Pelodiscus sinensis: one gene and its partner. The protein of the gene in region 2 purifies or fractionates together with the protein of the main gene of each other region. This does not show direct contact. Links are inferred from orthologs where the notes say so. Each region holds a gene or a part of one and is shown on either strand. Other genes may lie near its edges.

Region 1 (8,037 bases), on a different chromosome or scaffold from region 2:
GACTGACAGCTTGTCGTCCCAAGAGGGCTGGTTACTCCCACCCACACTCCCCGATTGACAGTGAAGCCCTCAAATCGATTGCTGCTCAAAGAGGTAGGCAGCCTGGTTCCCCGAGGTGTTCACTTGCAGGCTTGAAGGCAGTGAAGCATGCGAGGGTGTGCTCTTATGGCACCACCTGCTGGTCTAAAGGGACAGAAACTGCAATACAGGCAGTCCCCGGGTTACGTACAAGATAGGGACTGTAGGTTTGTTCTTAAGTTGAATTTGTACGTAAGTCGGAACTGGTGTCCAGATTCAGCCGCTGCTGAAATTGATCAGCGGCTGACTACAGGAAGCCCGAGGCAGAGTTTCTCTGCCCTGGGCTTCCTGGAATCAGCCGCTGATCAATTTCAACAGCAGCTGAATCTGGACGCCTGGGACAGAGCAGCTGGGGCGCTGCCGGGTAGGTCCTCACAGCGCCGCACCTCGGTGCTGCGGGGACCAACCCGGCAGCACCCCAGCTGCTCTACCCTAGGTGTCCCCAAGTCAGCTGCTGCTGAAACTGATCCATGAAGCGTACAGCTAGTTCGAATTAGGAAGCCTAATCCGAACTAGCTAGTCCGTGCCGCGTGTAGCCGTGCGGCACGGGGTCCGAACTAGCCGGCATTTAAAAATGGCGCCGGCCGGCTTTATGCAAATGAAGCCCGGGAAATTCAAATCCTGGGCTTCATTTGCAACTCTGTATGACTACATTACCCCCCCCTAGTTCGAACTAGGGGGGTAGTGTAGACATACCCTAAGGTACCACAAGACTCCTCCTCCGTTTTGCTGAAACTTACACAGCAAAAATAAATTATGAAATCAGTTATACCCAGCAGCACCCCAGCTGCTCTGCCCCAGGCGTCCTGATTCAGCCGCTGCTGGTCAGTTTCAGCAGCGGCTGAATCAGGACGCCTGGGGCAGAGCAGCTGGGGTGCTGCTGGATTGCTCCAGTAGCGCCGAGGAGCGGCGCTACTGGAGCAACCCAGCAGCACCCCAGCTGCTCTGCCCCAGGCGTCCCCAAGTCAGCTGCTGCTGAAACTGACCAGCGCTGACTACAGGAAGCCCGAGGCAGAGTTGCTCTGCCCCGGGCTTCCTGGAATCAGCTGCTGATCAGTTTCAGCAGCAGCTGACTTGGGGATGCTTGGGGTTCTTAAGTTGATTCTGTATGTAAGTCGGAACTGGCGGTCAGTTTCAGCAGCGGCTGAATCTGGACGCCAGTTCCGACTTACATACAGATTCAACTTAAGAACAAACCTACAGTTCCTATCTTGTACGTAACCCGGGGACTGCCTGTAGGACTTCAAGTGATCAGAGACATCAGTCCCAGCCTGATGGAGGAGACACCAGTCACAGCAACTTGGGCATGTCGAAAGTTAAATTGCTCTCTCTGCTGTTTTCTAGGAACCCAAGACAGATAGGGTTGCCAACACTCCAAGAATTACTCTTTAATTAAAGATTATGTAATGTGATGAAATCTCCAGGAGTACATCCAACCACAATTGGCAACCCTAAAAAGCAAATTATATTAGCCATTATCTTTACGGGGTTGGCTTTCATGCTTCTTTATAATACAGAAAAGAGGCCTGAAGACTTGGGTTTTTTAAATTTCAGAAATGTGCTTTTCTGGTTGACTTTTACATTACAAGTTAGAGTTTGTTCTGTTTTTCTTGAAAATTAATGATCACTGGATGAGACTGAGGCTCTATAGAAGAGAAGTTGCATCTGAAAGAGGCTTGTATTCAGGTTAATTTCTTTATAATAATATCCTTTTAATTCAGACACCTTATAATTTCTCATGCAAGACATTTTATTTCTGTTAAGGATTCAATATCCACTAAGAATGTAGGCCTTGATCATGCAAAAATGTATGCATACATTTCATTTCGTGCCTACTGTGAATAATCTCACAGAGTCCAGTGGAACTACTCACAGGCTATGTCTAAACTGCACTGTTAAATTGGAAAAAGAAACGCAATTTGCGGTATGCAAATTGTGTATCTTTTTCTGATTTACATTCGAAAGAGGCTCTTTTGAAATTTGTCTTTCTACTTGCGAAAGAAAGTGCTCTTTCAAGCTTTCCCTTATTCCTCATAGAACAAGGTTTACAGGGATGGCAAAAGAGCACATCCTTTCTTTCAAATTATTTTTTTTTTAAAACGGACACTTTCCTTGTACGCGGCGTTGTTTTTTGGGGATACTTCTAGTATCCTGAAAAAGCAATGGAGTCTAGACATAGCCACAGTGTGTAAAAGTTTAGTATATAATTAAGGCATCACAGGAATGGGTCATAAATGAGATCTACATTATGAATTTTTCCTAGTACAGTAAAACCTGTGTTATCCAGCCCTGTAGCAACCGTCCAGAAAGCTCTATAAACCAGCCTTAATAATATTAATATAAAGTCCAGTTTATAGTCCAGTTGCTAGGGGACCAGCAGGCTTCCTGCTTGGTTCTGCATGGCTCCTTGGAAGCAGACACATCCCTGCTGCTCCTAAGCAGAGGTACAGTCACAGGGGGTTTGGAGTGTAAGAGGAAGTACAGGGGTGGGAGCTGGGGCACAGGAGGGGTTTTGGGATGCTGGATTCAGGGGCACTTTGTTTAAGATAAAGAAAAAATTTCTTTTGAGCTCTCCCTTTTCCTTGATTGTCCTGTTGAAATGAATGAGGTGTGAATGGAGAATGAAAGGTGAGCACATCCAGCAGCAGTTGCAAGGGTCGAGAGGGCCTGGGAGCCAGATCAAGACAATACCTGTAAAGTGAGCTCATTAAGAAGACTGGACATACAGACAGCCTTGGGAGTCAAGCATCAAGTGCCCGCCCTTGAAAGACCTCTCTTTAAAGCATTACAAAGGCAAGGTGATGACTAACTGGCTGCATGAGAGGGATAAATATGAGGCATCTTGCAGAGGGACCCCGGATTATTCGTCTTGTCAACATGGGAGCATCGATCTGGATCGGCAGAAGCCCGCTCCACCCCCCCACATCTAACTCACTTGGCCAGTGCAGTTAACGGGAGCAACTCTTGGTAACAATAAGATGGAGTGTGCTTGTGTGTCTGTGTGTGTGAGTGCATAAGTGTAAGTATCATATGCATGTGAGAAAGTGTTGATTGATCTATGTATGTTCAATAAATGTGGCGTGTTGCCTTATCCCCCTGAAAAAGATCCCGTGTGCTTCTTTTAAGCACAACACTGGGAGTGACCAGACAGCCAACAGAGGCTGTCCCTGGGATGGACCTGGCTCCCGCATTAGGAAGGCAGGATAAGGGACCCTCTGAAGGTAGCTAGGCGGGCTGGGTTCTGGAGTGATGTAGTAGATAGGGCATTTGCTAGGGGAGTATAGGGTGGTGGGTTCAAGTCTCTTCTCCCCTAGGCAAGCTAAGTCCCAGCAACCAGACAGCTAACACAAGAGGGCAGTATAGACAGGCAACACAAATTTCTTGTGCAAGAAGCCCCTATGGTTAAAATGGCCATCAGAGCTTTTTTACGGAAGAGAGCATCTACACTGCCATGGATGCTCTTGCGCAAAAGCACATGGCAGTGTAGACGCTCTCTTGTGGAAGAGTTTTTGCACAAGAACTCTTCCACAAAAGAGTTCTTGTGCAAGAAGCTGCCAGTGTAGACGTAGCTCAAGTATGCTGCATTCTGGGCTGGCTCTGCCTGGTGGGAGAAAGGGGAGGAGGCTCTATATACTACCCCCTACCCCAGGCTGGAGGCATGTTAGGCATGTTACCATGAGTGCAGAGGATCTCTTATTCCTACTTCAAGTAGGAATAAGAGATCCTCCGGAATAGGGCTTTATTCCGGAGGATCGCACCGGTCTGGACGCTCTTTTCCGGCTTTTCCCCAAGCCGGAAAAAAAGTGGCGGCCATGTTTATTTAAATCCCATGGGGGATATTTAAATCCCCCGTGCATTTCCCTATTCCAAAGTTATAAATTAGCATGCCTATTCCAAAGAAGGGGCCAGTGTAGACACAGCCGCTGTGTCTAGACTGGCAAGTTTTTACGCAAAATCATCTGCTTTTGCGGAAAAACTTCCCAGCTGTCTACACTGGCCGTTTGAATTTCCACAAGAACACTGATGATCTCATGTAAGATCAACAGTGTTCTTGTGGAAATACTGTGCTGCTCCCGTTCGGGCAAAAGCCCTCTTGCGCAAATCATTTGCGAAAGAGGGCCAGTGTAAACAGCACAGTACTGTTTTCCGCAAAAAAGCCCCGATCGCGAAAATGGTGATTGGGGCTTTTTTGCAGAAAAGCGTGTCTAGATTGGCCACGCAAAATGCTTTCGCGGAAAAGCGTCCTGCCAATCTGGATGCGATTTTCCGAAAATGCTTTTAATGGAAAGCTTTTCCGTTAAAAGCATTTCCAGAAAATCATGCCAGTGTAGACGTAGCCTTACAGTTTACATTACAGGGCTGTGATAGCCCATTAACAGGGGCCTTGCAGAGACATGTGACCATGTCACCTGATGAGGGGATCCATCTTAGATACTGTAGATGACCCCAAGAGCAGAGAGGAAATTTAAGACTGAACACAAGGGATTGCTGCTTTTTGCAAAATCTATGTACTGGTGGAGAACAGGGATGTACTAGTGTAGGCGATTAACCAATACGCAAAAGCATATCAGTTAATGCTATAGACCATATGCATTTTCCTCCCCTCCCACATCAGCAATTTTTTTTTTAGCAGCAACCCAGCTCAGTCCTGGCTTGCAACAGGTCCAGCACCTCCCCCTGGTGCAGCTCTGCATGTAATGCGTATTAGGAACCAGCCAGGCTGGCACCGCACAGCCAGGCACCAGGGGGCGGAGGGCTCGAGGCAAAGGCTTTCTTTCTCACGCTCGCGAGGGCCAGCACCGCGCCTGCGCAGCTGTCGCCCCCCCCCTCCTCTGCCGCCGACGCAACCCGCGCCTGCCCAGTGCGCCTCTGTCGCCCGCGGCCCGACAGAACCGCGCCTGCGCAGTGATTCCCCCTCCCTCCGCCCCCTCGTAGCGGAAGTGGCTGGGGGGACGGGGCGCTCCAGTTCCGCCTCGGTGTTGTTCGGGCTGCACAAAATGGCGAAGATCGCCAAGACCCACGAAGGTGAGACACGGAGCCAGCCCCGCTCGCTCCCCCCCCACCCCCCCCGCTGCCTCAGCGCCTCGCGGGCCCGGGCCGGGCTGGCTGTCGTGGCGCGGCGGGCGGCGCAGGCCGCAGCGGGCGGGCGGGCCGGGCCTGTGTAATGGCGTCTCCGCCGGGGCCTCTCGGGCTGCCCTTGCGGCGGGGGGGGGGTCACACGGTGCTGGGGGGAGGGGCTGGGCCCCGCGGTTGCGCTTCCTGCTGGGAGGTGACGTGTGGCCCGCGGCGCCCCTGGAGTGGGAGCCCCGCTCCGCCGTGCGCAGCCGCCTCCCGGCCCGCTGGAGAGGCCGGCCAGGGGCGGTGACACATCCCGCCCGGCTCGCCTCGCCTTGCTGCCTGCTGCGGCCCGGGCAGGCTCGGGTCCGGGCGCGCTTTCCACGGCAACGTGTCGCGTCTGCCGGCGCATTGCAATTGACTCGCCGTCCACAGCAGGGGCTGGCCGTGGGTACCCCTGCTGGCAGCGCAGTCTCCCTGAGTCAGCTCGTCCTCGCTCAGCCTTCCTACCAGTGCTGTTTCTTTTGCAATAAGGGGGTTGATATCGGGTTGCTAGGGAATATTAGACAATTGTTGCTGACGTAGTGCCAGAGAGTAATGTTGTTTCTGAGGTACCCGTCGCCCTCTGCCCGCTTAAGGTTATACACCTGGGGTGGGGAACTTGAGACCCTGGGGCCAGAGGTGTCTCCTAGTTTGCCTGGCTCAGGGCCACCCCTCATCCTAGCATTGCAGAGCCTGCACTGGCTCGCCAACCCCCCACCCCCACATGGAGGGCTGGAGCACACATAATCGATTAGGCTGCCCCCACAAGGGGAATGTGGGAGTGTCTTTCTCTTCCATTAGCCACCTCAGTGAGGGGGTTTGTTTTTTTGTTTTTGCTTCTGTCTTGTGGGTAGCCCCCCAACTGGTTTTTCTGTGGCTCCCTGACCCCAAAAAAGTTCTCCACCCTGGCTATACTGTAATCTGTCATGGTCTGCAAAATTACTAGATGAGAGCCCAGTTCTACATGGGAGGAACACTGTTGACTTCATTGAGTCTGAGTAGGTATCAACAGATCTGTTCAGTCACAGTTTGCAGAATTGGGCCCTTAAACGCTTTAAGTGCTATGACAAATTATAAAAGGTGGGTTTTTGTTGGGGGGGGGGGTTATTTGTAGCCAGATTCATTACTTCATTTCCCCACTGAGTGTATGCAAAAAATGCCTTTGCAGAACAACATCTGTAATACTTCTGCTCTTGAAATAGCTTTATAACAAATTGAGACAACTGATAGAAATTATTTACATGTGTGGGGGACTACTAAGTACCCCTATTCTATCTGAATGCCTCATACATACGTTGACCATATGTTTTGATTTTTCCCGGGACTGTCGCAAATTAAAATGCTCTGTCCCAGTTCCCCATCAAGTAGTGAAATGTGCTGGAAAGCCCTGCCGTTCATTTCGCAGCTTGATGGGGACACCAGTGCAGCAGCCTCCTTCCCCAGGGAAGATGCAGGTACCAGGGGATTGTGGGGGTGAAGCAGAAGGGCAGACACAAAGTGGGGGAGGAATGGGCACCAGAAGAGAGAGGCGGGGCAGGTGGGTAGAGGGAGGTGTTAGGAGAGGGGATACGGAGGGGTAGCTTCAGATGATCAGAATGGGGCTAGAGGAGGAGTGGACATGGGGAAGAGAAGGGCTGGTGCAGGGGTGGGTACCCATAAGCAGGGCTTGCCGAGCAGCGCTGTCCAGCAATCTGTGCATACTCAGATCGCCCGAACCCTGCTCTTCTGGGTTGTAATCTACTTGCCACGGGCGAGTAGATTACATAGATTGTCGAGCCGGACGCTCTCTCGTGCAAGAAAGCTCTGATGGCCATTTTAGCCATGGGGGTTTCTTGCACAAAAAAACACTGTTGCCTGTCCACCCTGCCTTCTTGAGCAAGAGGTCTTAGTCCTTGTGGAGAGAGGAATAACTCTTGCACAAGAAGCCCTCTTCCAATGCTTTGCTGTACATTTACTTGGACAAGAACATGTGTGCAGTGTAGACGCTCCACAAATTTTTTGTGCATGAACAGCCATTCTTGTGCAAGAAGCCTGCAGTGTAGACACAGCCTGTGTGTTACCACTATGATATTTAGCAGGGCTTCCCTATGCTTGTGGCTCCAGCTGGGGGGTGGGTATAGGAAGGAAGTGCACAGATCCATCTTCCCCACACCCCAGGAGGGGATGGCCCAGAACACAGGGTGGGCTTTATTGGGTGCAGCCCCTAATTCTCCTTTTCTTAATCTAGCTCCGCTGCTGGGGTCAGGTGCATTCCTCCAGCCCAGCGGGGAGAGGCGTTTTTTTCCTAGTCATGGCAGCCCTGAGCCGCTGCACAGGGCTTATTTGGCAGCCGTGTGGCGGTGCAGCTTAGAGGGAACTCTACTTGTGGATTGTTCAAATCCTTGAGTGCCGTAGGTTTGTCAGCCTCAATTGTAAGAATAGATCAGACTTATCACTCTGCAGAAAATCTGAATATTCTGTGGTTTGTCAAGGCTGCAGTCTCTTTAGTATCTTCTCTGTGTTACCAGCTTTGATAACCCTAATTGACCAAAAATGGTAACAATGCAAATATACATGCCAGTCTTGCAAACATTCACATTCTCATAAGAACATAAGAATGGCCGTACTGGGTCAGACCAAAGGTCCATCTAGCCCAGTATCCTGTCTACCGACAGTGGCCAGCACCAGGTACCCCAGAGAGGGTTGACCGAAGACAATGATCAAGCGATTTGTCTCCTGCCATCCCTCTCCAGCCTCTGACAAACAGAGGCCAAGGACACCATTTTATCCCCTGGCTAATAGCCTTTTATGGACCTAACCTCCATGAATTTATCCAGCTTCTCTTTAAACTCTATTATAGTCCTAGCCTTCACCGCCTCCTCT
Region 2 (8,048 bases):
CAATGGGAGCTAAGAGATTTTGCTGGGGGGGGGGGGGGGGAGGGAGCATGAGAAGTCTCCCTCCTATCTCTCTAGCCACCTGGAAGTTGGAACAGCTGGCTTTTTAAAGTGGAGCTGTTCTCTGCCTACTGTTTCCAGCAAGCCAGTCACAGGCTGGATCCAGTGTCAGACAGTCTCTTGCTCACCCGTGTTCTAAACCTTGTTAACTAATTAGACAAGCCAAAGTCAATCTACATTGTTCTTCAGCCATGTCCAGATCTTCATCCACATATTTTCTCCTAATAAGCATCATGGGATAGCCAAGTTAATCTGTACAGGATAAACTTAAAAAACAACAAAGTTCCAGTCATCTGAAGAAGTGGGCTGTGCCCACGAAAGCTCATGATAAGCTACATGCTTTGTTATTCTAAATTTTTTAAATTTATCCTAATAAGCAGTTTTCCTTATGATGTTTCATTCTTGCAGCTAGGCCCTGCATCATCTTCTTCCACTGCTTACACGACATGTTTTCCTTTTTTACCCAGGGAATTAATTTCTTCAACATACTCCCACATAGGGTCTCTTTTACACTCAGAAGCCATAACAGTTTTTCTGTGGCAAAAGCGTAGGGGACTATAGGAAGCTGTGTGTATGCTAAATAATGTCTTCCTTTTTCCAGTCCACTCCAGTGTTCCTCTCTATGCTGCTTCTGTCCTTTCCTTTTTCCTGTCCACTCCAGTGTTCCTTTCCATGCTGCTTCTGTCCTTTCTTATATATTATTTCTGTTTTTAGACAATGTCTTAACTAACTCTGCTGTGCTTGGCCCCGGTTTACCACCACATAAAATACAGAACAAAAACAATCCTATCCAGCTCATGTCAGTCTTTGTACATGTTGCTCAGCAGACTAACAAACTGAAAGGCCAGAAATTTCAAGGAGCAAGAGCTGGTCGTTAAGCTGAACGCTGCCTTCTATCGAGGAAGTCTTCATCCTCTCTGATCAAGTGTAGGGTCGACACTTGGGCCTCCAGTCCTCAAATTTTTTCTTCCAAAATGGCGACCAGCTTGCACTTAGTGCAGATGAGATCCGTTCTTTCATGATCCAGTTAAGATCCTTTTCAATTCTAAATTGACTGTATTGAATTTGCTCCAGTTCAGCTGTCTCCCTTTGTAATTGGGGTTTAAAGTTCTTTTGAAGAAGAATAGCTACTTTTATATAAGGATGTTAGATAGTGTGTAATTAAATAGTCATGTAACCAAATCAAATGTTAGCGGTTACATGACTATTCGATAATCACCAGGGGCAGAGCCAACAGTCAGTGTGCTCTGAGCCTCACTCATGGGGAGCCCCTACCACCCAGCACTGCTGCCTCTCCATCAGAGGCAGCAGCGCCAGGTGCAAGCAGGAGCCAGACTGCAAGGGGAGCCAGTTTAAAAACCAGCTCCTTGTGCAGACCAGTTCCTGCCTGCCACTCCTGCCTGTTGGGGGTGGGTTAGGGAGGCAGCACGGGGCAGTGGGAGGAGCCGGAGGGGAGGGGAGGAGAGGCAGCACCATGGAGCCAGTGCTGGGGAAGAGTTGGCTTTTAAGCTCTGCCGCTGCCTGTGCTTGTGGAGAAACAGGAAGTAGGGGCAGGTGGGTCCTACTCTGTAGGAAGCAGCAAGTGGGGGCAGAGGGGTTTACAGAGCTGGCAAGTGCAGAGAGCCACTTAAAAATCAGCTCCCCATGCATTTTGGCTCCTCCTGCTCCCCTCACCCTCCACGCTGCTTTCTCTCTATCAGAGGCATCAGCAAGGAGGAAGTGGGGGGGCAGGCAGATCCAGTACTCATGGGGAGGCTTAAAGCTGGCTCCCCACAGACACTGGCTACCATCTCCCCCCTCTTGCTGCCTCTGATAAAAGAGACAGCATGCGGCGGGAGGGGGGGGGAGTGCATGTAGTCGACAGAATTAACCAATAAGCCCGCATTTATCATTTAATCATGTAGTTGTCTACACACTAACATCCCTACTTTTAAATCCTTTACTGAATATCCAGGAATGTTAAAGTGTTCCCCTACATGTTTATGTGTGTTACCGTTCCTCATGTCTGATTTGTGCTCATTTATCCTTTGGTGCCGAGACTGTCCAGTTTTAAAAGGGAGGTTAAAACACTTTCTGGTTCTACATCCTAAAAAGAACTGGCTGATGTGGAAGGAAAGCAGAGATGAAAATAAGGAGGCCCACCTCAGGGCACACTCTTTCATTTAAGCCATTTATTTCATTCTCCAGCTTTCCCAACTCTCCCTATGCAAAGCCACAGCCCACCTTTCAGCACCCCACAAGGGCACAGCCTACTAAGCCACCTAGGAACCAACACTAGCCAGGTAAGTTGCCACCTTAAACTCTTTCATGTGCCTGAAAGTAACCTGGGAACACTAGGAGCACTCCTAGACTGTTCCTACAAGAAGGCGGTTTTATTTCTGCACATGGCACAGAGCTAGAGCTGGCAGACTTGTCTCTTTTCAGTTGGGTTTATCTATCTCCCCTTTCCCAACACAACTGTAATTGGGTTCACAATACTGCAGCTGGGGGCTAAAAACTCTCCTTGTAACAATTTAAAAAGTGACATTTCTATTCATTAAAACAATACCTAAATTGGGACCTTTAAAAAGCCAGAGTTTGCTGTTAAAGTAGCCAGCTGGGGTGCAGTTTATGATGCACTCTCCCAGCCTGGCTTACAGCCAGGTGAGGCAACAGCAATGAAGACACGTTAAAGGGATCAGCTGGCAGTGTGCTGTAGGGGAGCCATGCAGTGGGCAGTGTACGTGACATCCCTTACTTGTTCTGTAGCCAACAGCCCCTGGAAAAAAGCCAGGGGATTTCTCACACTGCTGCTGATTTCCCTGAAGCAGTGCCCTCACACAGCTCCTTTGTGGCCAGGTAAAGTTATCTGACCCCAGGTCTCCTCACTCTTTCCTCTTCACCCCCAGCCCCGACTCATACACCATTCCCCTACCCCAAGCCTCCCACACTCCCAACCCCCTGGTCTAACTCTGCCCCACACTATCCACCTGCACACACTCCAATGGGAATGAAACTGCATTAACAACAGAAAATCCAGAGTTATTGCTTTAATTATATATTTTACATTGACAAATCCTCTTCAGTTTTCACTTGTCAGGTGGAATACATTCATGTCTGCTCTAATGGGACATAGTCATCCCTGACCTATTGAAATGGGGGGGGGGGGGCGGAATGGAGAAGAGTCCCCCGCTGGCCCTGTGTTCCCTGCAACATTTCAAAGTGGCAGCACCACATAGAGCCTGGTGTGAGCTGAGTCTCCAGCTCATCCTGGGCTCCATGAGGCGCTGCCTCTTTGAAATGCTGCAAGGAGCCCGGCGCCAGGCTGCACACAGCATTTCAAAGCGGGAGCGCTGCATGGAGCCTGGGCTTAGCGGGGGAGTCCCAAGCAGGCTCCATACCACGCTGCCGTTTTGAACCACCCCCTCCTTGCTGCCTCTTTCCGGCAGAGGCAGCAAGGGGGGGGAGGGACGGTGGCTAGTTGCACATCCCGAGACAGTACCTGCCACCCAGCATGCAAAACAGGACGGTGCAGCACTTTTAAAGACTAACAAGATGGTTTATTAGGTGAGGAGCTTTCGTGGGCCAGACCCACTTCCTCGGATCAATGTGTGGAAGAAAATCGGCACAGCCATAGATACCGAAGTGACACGTTCCTTTTTTTTTTAAATTGTATCCTTTGGTATATATGGTTGTGACTATTTTCTTCCACTATTTGATCTGAGGAAGTGGGTCTGGCCCACGAAAGCTCCTCACCTAATAAACCATCTTGTTAGTCTTTCAAGTGCTACATTGTCCTGCATTTTGCTTCAGCTGCACCAGACGAACAGGGCTGCAGCGCTCTCGCCGCGCAGCACGCAGAGTGCCGCCCACTGCAGGGAGGAGCGGATCCGTCCGAGCTGGGCCAGGCCCGGGAGCGGAGCGGCAACAGCCCGGTGGGCGCTACCGCCGAGGGACGCAGAGCACGGCACGCGCCGCCCTCCGGGGGTCCCCTCCACTCCCGCACCGGCCGCGCCTCTTACCTGAGCGCCGCCGCCGCCCTCTGATGATGCTCGTACCACAGAGAGCTCGGCTAGAGCGTCCCGCCGGGGCCGCCTCCTCCCCGCAGTGATCATAGAGGAAGGCGCAGCCGCGGCTAGAACGTTGCGCGGCCGCCCGGTGGCAGAGAAGGCCCCTTGAGCCGCCCTCCCGTTGCCTCGGCAACCGCCCCGCCCCTGCCCGCTCTTCCTCGGGAGGAGGGGCGCTCGGAGCCTGCGCAGCCAGGCGAGGGCGGCTGTGCGCAGGCGTGAGCAGGGCCAGTCAGGGAAATCCTGTCACCTCAGCGCCGCCCGCCCAGTCCAACTGCTGCCGTGAAAATCCTCCCTGCCCCCAGTCGCAGCCCCTCGCTGACACGTCACACGGATGCCTGCTCCTGCCAAGCAGACCATTCCAGCGGGGCCAGCTCCTCCGTGCCTCCTCCACCCTCCCCACCTTCTTGCCCGCAGGGCCAGCCTGGGCCCCCTTTTGCCCCCTGCACACGAGGCTGGCACGGGTCCCTGCCACCACCCAAGGCCCCCCTCTTCCTCCCCCTCCCGACTGCTCTGCTGCCCACCTGCAGGGCTGGCCCAAAACCTGAGGCCCCCCTGCCACCTGGGGGCATCCCAAGTCCTACTCTGCCCCGTGCACACAGCTGGCTGAAGATCCCTCGCTGCCTGCCCACACTGGGCGGGTCCAGCCCAAGCTGCTGTCCCAAGACTTCCCCCCATGCCACTTACCCTGCCCCACCTACATTTTTCTCTGCATCCTGCTAGGAGGTCCCGCACCACTTAGCAAAACTGTTTGCCCTGTTTGCTCTTGCCAGCTGATGGCTGAATGGGATTAATGCCCAGCTTCTTTTTTGGGGGGGGGGGGGTGCTAAGGAGTCAGGATGACTAGGACGGGGTTCAAAAAGGGATCGTCCCAGACACAATCGGATGTATGGTTACCCTAACTAGACATTCACTCTCCTCTCTTCACCTACCTCTATGGCCTCTCTGTTCTTGGAATGCCTCCCTAGCCCGGCTTCCACCTTTTTCAATGGTCAAGTTCATCTGCAAAACTCTTCAGTGGGGCATAATCATCCTCTTCAAAAATCAACAGTGAAACCAGTGGTACTACCCAGACTCAGGTAAAAGATGTGCTATATGGGGCAGTCGATAGTGGGCAGATGAACTATTTTTAAGCACGAGATCGCTTTTTGAATTTAAGTGCAATCTAGGATCTACCTCAAATCCAAACACCTTTGCCCCACCTCCTTTGTGCCCTTTCTCTGAGGCCCTGCCCCTGCTCACTCCATCCTCTCTCCCTTTCACGGGGCAGGGGCAGAGGGTTGGGGCACAGGCTCTGCTCTTGGGCTAAGGGATTTGGAGTGTGAGAGGGACTCTGAGCTGAGTTTGGGGTGGGCCTTTGGGGTGCTGGAGGGGGTTTTAGGTGCAGACTCTGGGAGGGTGTTTGGATGCAGGGGTGCCTGGAGCTGGGGCAGGGCCTTGGGGTGAAGGAGGGGGTTCATGATGAGGGTAGGAATTTGGGATGTGGGCTCCAGCTGGGCCCTGCTTAACTCAGGTGGCTCCTGGGTGGTGGTGCAGTGGGAGTAAGGCAGGCTTCCCCCTGCCCTGGCCCTGCACCACTCTCAAAAGCAGCCAGCAAACTCCATCCCAAATCCTGTTGTCCCCCCCCCCTCCAGTTCTGTGGATATAGAATACAGGGTGGGAGGGAGCACCCTGACAGCAGCACCCTCTTCTCCCTCCCCTGCCCTGCACAGAAAGCAGGAGGCTCCCGTGGAGGGGAGGGGCACCTCCAAGGCAAAGGGCAGGAGATGAGCAGCAGTGGGGGGAGGGGCAGCTGAAGTGCTGCCGCTTGATAGCCTCTTGGTCAAACCTCTCAGGATGACCTGTTAGAGTCTCCAAGATCTTCCAGTAGATCTACTAGTCGGTGACCACTGAACTAGAGAATGGTCTGTAGCCCGGGAAGACAGAGCGGTGGTTTTGAGATATATGAATGTGTAGCCCAGAATAAAAATATAAGTAGCATGAGCAAGGCTGGTTTTAGGAGTGAGTCACTTGGCCAACTGCCCAAGGGAGCCATAGTCAAAGGGGTGTTGTGCAGCAGTGCAGAGGTGCGCGCTAACTGTGGAGACCAGGGCTACTCAGCTTTGGAAGCCCTGGGGGCCACAATACCCACAGCACATGACGAGAGCCGCAACTCAAGTGTGGTTGCACATATATGCAAATAGCTTCTTTGATACTGACGGGCATGAATACAAAGATTAAGGCAAGATTACAAAACACGCAGGCCCCATTTAAGTCAGATCTTCTGATATTAATACAATGCAATATTTATCCAATTTCCACCCATGTGACAGCATTTTTAATGAGCAATAACAGTTAAGCAATTTAATTACTAAAACATATCAACAGAAGACCATTACAATGATTACTTTTTTGATTTGTCTTCACAACAGTCCAGAAATTTAACTACTAAACACATATCAACAGAAGACCATTTATATTCATAACTTTTTTGTTTTGGCTTCACAATTTTAACAAATCAAACAAAAACTGCAAATACAATATTTACCGAAATATAAGTACAATCAATGTGAAGTTAAAGGCACCAAGCAGAGAAGTGGCATGTCTAGAAAAGGAAGTCAGGAATCCTGCTTCCCAAAAGCCCTTCCTTTCCCCAGCCTGCCCCACCAAGGATCAGCTCCCACAGTCCTCTCAGAGCAGAAACTGGAACCCCCAAATCTAACCAACGGACTCATCGCCCACCTACAGTAAAGGAAAGAAGTCAGAAGTTTTAATACCCAGTTCCCTGCTCTAACCCAGTGCCCCTGCTGTCCTCCACAACCAGGCACCCTCCAGCCCTCCCGCTCCAATCCAGTGCCCCTCTCCCAGAACCAGGCATCCTCCAGCCTTCCCTGCTCTAACCCTATGCACCCAGCCTTCCCGCAGAGCCAGGCACCTCCAGTCCTCATTCTCCAACCCAATGCCCATCTCCTCCACTAGAACCAGGTACCCCCAGCCTCCAAAGCTTTTGCGCAAAAGGGCCAGTGTAGACAGCTCAGATTTGTTTTCCGGAAAAAAGCCCCGATCGCAAAAATGGCGATCGGGGCTTTTTTGCAGAACAGCGCGTCTAGATTGGCACGGATGCTTTTCCGCAAAAAGTGCTTTTGCGGAAAAGCATCCGTACCAGTCTAGACGCTCTGTTCTGAAAATGCTTTTAACGGAAAACTTTTCCGTTAAAAGCATTTCTGGAAAATCATGCCAATCTAGATGCAACCAGGGCAAATAGCAATTAAAAAGAAAATTAACCTCCCAGAGGCTGAAACTGGTAGAAGCAAGACAGTAATAATTGTACCTAATTCTAACGTGCTTTTCATGAGCAGATCTCAAAGCACTTTTCATATCTCTATCTCCAATTTACAGATGGTGCAACTGAGGTAGGGGAAGGAAAATATTAAGTTTAATAAGTGGGTAAAGCTAGGATGCCACTATTCAGAAGTTCTGAAGCTGAATGTAGAGCATGTTGTAATATACTTAGCAAATGATAATATCATAAAGCTATATTGAGAAGGGGATTCTGTCTGGGAAGACATTAAATGTTTGGACCACTGAGCCCAGGAATTTGGGGCTGGATGCAGTTTTGTTCTAGCCTTTTCTCCCCATTTCCTCCCATTGCACCAACAATCTCCTCTGCACATGGATAGATGTGTCTAATGATGATGACAATAGTGCAGTATTTGGCACTTGGGACAAATCATTTACATCAAAATGGCCACCGCGCTGTGCCAACGATCAGCTGATCGGCACAGTGGGGCAGTCTAGATGCGCTGCGGTTGACAAGGAAAGCCTTTGTTGACTGCTCCATTATGCCTCATGATACGAGGTTTACTGGAGCTGTCGACAAAGGCTTCCCTTGTTGACCAATCAGCTGATCGTCGGCACAGCGCGGCGGCCATTTTGATGTAAATGAAGCGGCAATTATTTAAATTG

What was found. Proteins that work in one complex are often made in the same cells at the same time.
Region 1: the proteins of SKIC8 (region 2) and SF3B1 purify together in Homo sapiens (co-immunoprecipitation; 3 studies listed by BioGRID and IntAct, with this or other methods). This does not show direct contact. The link is inferred for Pelodiscus sinensis from reciprocal best matches to the Homo sapiens genes SKIC8 and SF3B1.

Annotation. Positions count from the first base shown.
Region 1 is NC_134717.1:71,442,301-71,450,337, reverse strand, and holds the start of SF3B1 (splicing factor 3B subunit 1), read left to right. Parts: upstream 1-4,955; 5' UTR 4,956-5,075; coding exon 5,076-5,103; intron 5,104-8,037. UniProt on the Homo sapiens protein: Component of the 17S U2 SnRNP complex of the spliceosome, a large ribonucleoprotein complex that removes introns from transcribed pre-mRNAs.
Region 2 is NC_134724.1:39,734,671-39,742,718, reverse strand, and holds the start of SKIC8 (superkiller complex protein 8), read right to left. Parts: upstream 3,074-8,048; 5' UTR 3,059-3,073; coding exon 3,027-3,058; intron 1-3,026. UniProt on the Homo sapiens protein: Component of the PAF1 complex (PAF1C) which has multiple functions during transcription by RNA polymerase II and is implicated in regulation of development and maintenance of embryonic stem cell pluripotency.